Linked DNA regions of Bombyx mori. The protein of the gene in region 1 binds, or shares a complex with, the protein of each later gene. Links are inferred from orthologs where the notes say so. Each region holds a gene or a part of one and is shown on either strand. Other genes may lie near its edges.

Region 1 (4,295 bases):
TGCCGTGTCCAAGTCGCAACCACAATCGTGGCACTCTGCCGTCGGCTCGGCTCTGATCCGGTGCAGGAACTCACCGAAGCAACCATGCCCAGTGAGCACCTGCGTGAGCCGGAAAGTGAGGCGTCCTCTGTCACGATTCACCCAATTCACAAGAACCGGGCGAAGTCGTTGTGGCCTAAAGGATAAGACGTCCGGTGCATTCGTATGTAGCGATGCACTGGTATTCGAATCCCGCAGGCGGGTACCAATTTTTCTAAAGAAATAAGTACTCAACAAATGTGCACGATTGACTTCCACGGTGAAAGAATAACATCGTGTAATAAAAATCAGACCCGCCAAATTATAATTTGCGTAATCACTGGTGGTAGGACCTCTTGGGAGTCCGCACGGGTAGGTACCACCACCCCGCCTATTTCCGCCGTGAAGCAGTAATGCGTTTCGGTTCGAAGGGTGGGGTAGCCGTTGTAACTATACTGAGATCTTAGAACTTATATCTCGAGGTGGGTGGCGCATTTACGTAGTAGATGTCTATGGGCTCCAGTAACCACTTAAAACCAGGTGGGCTGTGAGCTCGTCCATCCATCTAAGCAATAAAAAAAAAAAAGAATCGCCTCGACGAAGGATCGGCCATCCGCCTGGATGACTCCAGCACGGACCGCCGAGATTGGACCCTCCGCGCTCTGACCACACTGGGGCTGGGACGCGCCACGCCCCAGGCACGCAAGTTAGCCCTCCACTGATAGTCAGCGGCGAACGCCTCCGCCTCCAGGACCCAAGGCGGCGTCCCAGCCAGTACACACGCCGCCTCAAAAGAGATAGTGCGATAACCACGGATGACCCTGACCGCGGGTCATTACTTAATAGTGAAAAAAAAACTTAGAATATCTATGTTTAACCGAAAACTAATTCCAAGATATATCCCACCGACTTGATAAACATCAAAATGCTAATTTCACCCCACCTTCAGACATGGGGTTGAAATATCGATTGTTTTTATGTACTATGTATTATATAGTGCTGCCATTTGCGACAGAAATGTGCAAGATGTGGTACCTACAAGTACGATATTATTTTATTATCACAGATATCATCGATCATGAATACGGAACGGTACCTACTTAAAAAATAGTACTTGGCTACATCTAGCTACATTGGATTTGACCGATTGTCGCAGTAGACACTGGCTCCGCCCAGTAGTCTTATGCGTAAAACCACAAACGTTTAAGGTACGCGCTTAATTCGCTCCTGCCTCAGCTGGACTCTTTATTATGATTCACCCACTCCACAAGGTTAGAGCGTATCGCGTATCGTCTCCACAGTCCGTAATGTGTGTCAATCACATTGACAATCGACACAACTACAACTACACAGCTAACTACTAAAACAGTACTAAGAACTACAGCACGGGCTTCAGAGCTTGAAGCATCAGTGTCCTTATCACACTTGAGCCCGGACACGCTTGTCACGACAGGGCATATCTCCTATACATTCCCTAGACCAGCCGTAAAATCAATAAATAGCCGAGATCACGACTTCAGTGCGGGTCAAGAATAAAGCCACCCATTTCTTAAAGGGCCGAGATGCAGCTCACCTGATTGCATAAGAATTTTTTATCCAAAATCAATAACGGACTCATACAAGTACCCGAACTTTCCAATTAACCCTAATGCTTTGACAGTGCTATGATATGATCAATGCGGTTATATGCAGAAAATGATCCCTTCTTCAATCTGTGTCCACCCAATGAGTGTGAGTGAGTGTAGGACTCTTCATATGCACTCCATTCCTGCTAATGATGCAGCTGCATAACTTTGTGTAGACTCAGGGTATGTTGTAATATACTCCAATGTTAGGGAGAAGTCCTCTCAGTTGGCAAGCAGAATCTACTGGCCAAAATCAGTTCAGAATAAAACGAAACTTTTCAGATTGAAGTGATAAGTATAATGAAGGCCTAACACGAGAATGAGTTACTTCAACTGAACCTGACTAATGCAAACACTTCAGAGTTCAATGTGAGTATTGACATGTGACGCTCACCATAACTCTAGTTTGACTAGTTTGACTAGTGTTATGATCAAGTGTCAATTAATCACTGCCCACAGGATTAAAAGTTTTGGAAAGCATTTGGTAACATACTGATCTCCTAATACCAATTATTGCTACACTCTTCATACTCTCATTATTTTCACTATCATATCATCATTATTTTGCATTATCATACATTATCTATGACCTGTTTGGTAGCAACCAGTAGATTTTGAAATGGCCAAAGTGTGAACTAATGCTTTGCTTATAAATCATTTTGAGTGATCCAAGTTTGCTAATGATATTAAAATCTCAGGAAGCTGCTCTAGGTATCCTAGAATCACCCCAACTTTTCAATTGTATGAATTCATAGAAAATTTTAGGATACTGCATATACAAGTAACTCTTTATCCAAAGAAAGTGCAACATGTTTCATTATTTCTGAATTAAAATTGAATGTGGTTGCAACTGCAGTGCACATCTGGTCTATCATACATAAATGGATAGCATAGAAGTAGCTATCAAACTTGAAGTTGATAACTATGGTAATCTGAAAGGTAGCAACCTTCCAGATTTCAGACGGTATGTAACTGAGACCCCCTCTTTAATATGTTCTACTACGATCCCCTCTTTAATATGTTCTACTACGATAGCTTTGTAAACAAGTGACCCATTACTTACTTTTTGTAGTGACCTAAATATTTTGATAGTGAAATTCCCCTTTTATAGAGAGCTGGAATAAAATGCTACATAAAAATTATGTGTTAGATAATAATTTGTTACTGCTCCAACGGAAATTAGTATAAAACTTTAATATTTACGCGAAATAAGAAAACCAGTTATTAAAGACTAATATTAAGATTGTATTGTTTCAACATTAAAGTTTGTAACATGAAAAACACTTCCAACTTACCAGTCTTAAATGTGTTCGTAAATACATTGGTAAACAAACCCTATTAACTTTTTTAAGCTATCGAAAGCATTTTATTTTCAATAGGAAGGCACAACATATTCTATTTCGGACACTCGCTCGCTATTCGCTAATCCTAATAGCTCTTTATTTAACTCTGTATTGAGTATTGTCTATGCTCATCAATAGAGTTCGGGATGTCCTTCGACTCTTTGAATCGATTCTAGCTCTGCAAGCTCAGGCCGTTTTCCAATTACAGCCCAAGAGCGCATTATGCGGCATAATGCTCAACTAAGCTTCAGCATAATTCGGCATTGTGCGTCACTGAGTCGCATTATGCTCTGTAATTGGAAAACTACTTAAGTAATGTTTAATTACAGAGCATAATGCGACTCAGTGACGCACAATGCCGAATTATGCTGAAGCTTAGTTGAGCATTATGCCGCATAATGCGCTCTTGGGCTGTAATTGGAAAACGGCCTGAGCTTGCAGACTTAACATTAAAGTATACCGCGGTCAACATTACATAGATCTAGATGTGCAACATCAGCAACTGGGCACTCGCCAAAATGGTGTGGTGCGTAAAAGTACCGGTAGCACGTCACACGGCCTCATCCGAGGAAATCACCTCTTAGAGTCCGGTCTTATACACGCGATGAGGTCACAATGCTGCTCTTCGCAGGCGGGCACGCCGCGATCATGTGCTCTTTCTTGTCTTCATCGCAAAGTCAATGTCGGCACTCCATTGCGATCTCCTTCGGATGGCTCTATGTGGATACTCGCCGAAATACCTATTGCTAGTTAGCCACCATCAGCTGGAAGGTGAGATATGGCTGGTCGTGGTTTACCCAGTCCACGAGGACCGGGCGCACCACATCAACGATCCAAAGATAGTCATCAATTTTATAAATCGAGTCTTTAACAATAAAGTCATAGCCGTAACTCGAAAGTGACCTAGGCTACTGACGCTCATAAGTGACGGTGATTAATTGCCGTCAGATGGGCTGTATGCTCGTACGCCATGCAAACTAAATAACTTAGAATAAAATGAACATGCTGATCAAAAACAGTGGAACAAGCAATATGTTAGATAGTCAATTTGATATTGAGTACCAATTTAATGACGGGACTGGAGTCTGGAAGAATCCAAGAAACAAGTCCAATAATTTTGTTTCATTTTAACATGCTTGTGCACATAAAGATTTCAAACAGATTTGACAGCTGACATACCTACCTCATACATTTCGATACTCAATCATAGCTTATAAGTTAATTCTAAAATGTTTCTAAATAAATGTTTCTAGTTTTACAGTCCACACTAGAATATGCTAGCTCTACGTTCCTTAAGTGTATAATCTAT
Region 2 (3,252 bases), on another chromosome or scaffold:
AAGAAAATTTAATTTTTCAGCATTTCGTTTGTGCCAAATGCGAGAAACCATTTCACGGCCATCGTCATTATGAAAAGAAAGGCTTGGCCTACTGCGAACAACATTATCACCAGTTGTTCGGCAATTTGTGCTACGTCTGTAATCAAGTTATCGCCGGCGACGGTAACTATTCGATTATTTCATTTAAAATTTAATGATTTCGGCATGTGATATGATGAGGTTTCATAATTGTCTGTATTGTATTGGTTTATCGTTTAAGTACACTGTTCTGCGTAATAAGTAAGTTGTGTTAATAAATATAATTTTTAATAAAGAAAACAATCGAAAATGGCCAAGTGGAGTACACGCAATAGTTAAATTTAATAAAAATCTTTGTTTTTTAACTAAGTTTAATAATGCTTTAATATCGTGCGGGCTAATACTGGAAAAAGCCTACTGAGTTTCTCGTCGGATCTTCTCAGTGGGTCGCGATTCCGATCCGGTGGTAGATTTTGCGAAGCAACGTCGTCAGGTTAGAGCACCTATTCGCACAGTTAAGTTGACATAACCTCACGAGATTACCAGCATAAGTGGTAAAAGAACGGGAAAGATTTCTACACATAGCTGTTGCACAAAATAAGTTCTGAACACAATATTTGTGTTATTGGTTAATAATCATAAACGTTTTTATAATATCACAATTCACTTAAAAACTAATTATATTCAGTGTGATTTGAAATTATATCTTGCTTATTTAGCTGATTTTTTTATATTATCGAATGAATATATTCTTAACTTCTTAAAAATTTGTGTGCTAGTATGTATTATAATTATGAAGGTTTTAATGTGAATATAATATAGGTTATATATCACAAGTAACATGTTACACATAATATGTAACTTATTGTGTTGTACTGCTGATTGCTACTTCAATAACACAAACTGGTCGAATCAAAAATATCTATTTAATTTACCATTTTTTTTCTTAATAACTGTAATTTTATTCGTAGTATTCACCGCATTGAACAAGGCTTGGTGCGTACATCATTTTGCGTGTTCCGTTTGCGATGCGCCGCTGAGCACGCGTAGCAAGTTCTACGAATACGACGAGAGGCCCGCCTGTAGACGCTGCTACGAGAAGTTCCCGGCTGAACTACGACGTCGGCTACGTCGGGCTCATCACTACACGGTCCGCCGTTAACGAAAAATACAAGGAATAAACGACATTAATCTGTCTATACCAGTGGTGGGCAAACATTTTTAATGGCGGCCACAATGTTTAGGAAATACTAGAGGAGGGCCAGAATTATAGAAAAATGTTTTTTTTTCTCCAATAAATGAGATAATGAAAGCTCCAATTCGTCAGGGGTGTTTTGAGGGGAGTTTTGAAAAATTCGAAGATTTTCAATTATAAACGTCAGATTTTATTTTACGCGCCAAACTGCCGACTAGAATATTTGGGACGGACGGACTCTCGGCGGGCCGGATTAAAATACTTCCGCGGGTCGTACTTTGCCCATCACTGGTCTATACTATACTAAACCACTATACCACAGTAATGTCGGTGTTCACATTTTTTTAACATAATTAACTAACAAATTTAAAAATATAATAAATGTAGTATGCACTTGCCATTTGTGCCTTGAAGTACCTACTATGTAACAACTAAACTTATTAATGTAATATATTAAGTGTAAAATGTAATAATTAATTATTTTATACCATACAAAATATAATGATTATGAATGTTGTCTTTACTCGCACTGATCATTGACGCGTTCGCTATTTTGTTCAAGTGCAATGGATTTATTTATTGATTTGACTCCTTTAAAAATATTATTTTGAAGTCGCTCTTATCTATTTACGACCAGATGAGCTATAAGTCAATTTAACTCTATTGGCAATAAAAATGTATCTGTTGAATGTGCTTGTAAACTATGTTTTGAATTAAGTCAAAATATCAGTTTGGTCACGTGAACCTGAATTTAAAAGCACAAAATATAAACGTAGAACTATTTCTAAGTTAACTATTTATATTAATGAACTCAAAAGGCTTGGCTTCATAAGCCAAAACGGAAACAAATCTGTAGATATTGTACACTATATGAAGATTATTAATATAAATTTTCGATGATTTTTATAAACCAATTGAACTGAATATTACAGCAAATGTGTGGTCAAAATGACGAATTTGGATCTAATTATTTTTTAATATTAATTATATAAGATTATCTTAGCCAGGGACAATGACAGTGACAATCAGACCGATATAAATGATATTTGAAAAACCCTCTGAAATGATAAATATATTTCAAAAAATTATATTCATTCCATTTTGAAGAATGCTACTTTTGACTATAATATGCTACTGCATTGTATATTAATGTCACGTTTTTAGCATGCCTTACATTAGACGAAAATTATGATTTAAAAGAAAAAAGAAAACTTGTTTCGCACCCTTTGTAATATTGTTTTTAACCCTTTTAATGTATAATACAGATATTTTATAATTTAATTTAGATCTAAATATTTATGTAACACCAAATAAAGTTTTTTACTAACACGTTATTCTTTTGATTATTGTACAATGCACGGGATTAGGGTTTCGTCAAGTTACCAAATACAAAATCAAAATTTTGGGAAGTTTTGATTTTAAGATTCTAATTTGTAATTTATTTTGTTATAGACAGCGTGTTTAGTGCGACTTTTTTAACGTTCTCGCATGTAATTAGTATGGAGTTGGAACGTTTGTCCCTAGCGGCAAATTTATGTTACCTTTTACGCTATCGAGAACGTTAAAACACTCGCATTAAGCACATAGATAGGCTATATTGTCATTTTATAAGTGGTCGTTGTTGCTCATGAACATCAGCAAACAAAAGGGTAATAATAAAAATAAAATCATTTATTGTCTTTCACATTAAATAGAATAAAATACAAGAAAAATAAAAATTAAAAAAAAGACAAAAGGAGGTGGCTCAGCTAAGGCTGTTCAAGGTCGATAAATCGAACAGCGCTGATTATCCACAATACGAGGTTCTTTATTTTAAGCTATTGCATAGCTTTTTTTAATGTTTAATATGGCGTGGTCTTGTTTTAATATTAAATTATAATTGCATAAGTTGATAAAAAATGCATACCGCGGCAGTTCCCCAGTGCCACACGTTTGTTTTTTTTTTATTGCTTAGATTGGTGGACGAGCTCATAGCCCACCTAGTGTTAAGTGGTTACTAGAGCACATAGACATCTAAAACGTAAATGTGCCACCCACCT

Evidence for each region.
Region 2: integrin beta subunit 1 (region 1) and LIM and senescent cell antigen-like-containing domain protein 1 share a complex: the UniProt entries of both Caenorhabditis elegans proteins name them as parts of the integrin containing attachment complex. The link is inferred for Bombyx mori from reciprocal best matches to the Caenorhabditis elegans genes pat-3 and unc-97.

Annotation. Positions count from the first base shown.
Region 1 is NC_085116.1:9,296,221-9,300,515, reverse strand, and holds the start of integrin beta subunit 1, read right to left. Parts: upstream 3,119-4,295; 5' UTR 2,939-3,118; intron 2,759-2,938; exon of another isoform or gene 2,707-2,758; intron 1-2,706. UniProt on the Caenorhabditis elegans protein: Integrin alpha ina-1/beta pat-3 is a receptor for laminin. Integrin alpha pat-2/beta pat-3 recognizes the sequence R-G-D in its ligands. Plays a role in cell migration, morphogenesis and probably in cell-cell interactions.
Region 2 is NC_085112.1:7,031,631-7,034,882, reverse strand, and holds the end of LIM and senescent cell antigen-like-containing domain protein 1, read left to right. Parts: intron 1-20; coding exon 21-162; intron 163-989; coding exon 990-1,180; 3' UTR 1,181-2,542; downstream 2,543-3,252. UniProt on the Caenorhabditis elegans protein: Component of an integrin containing attachment complex, which is required for muscle development and maintenance. Probably function in adherens junction.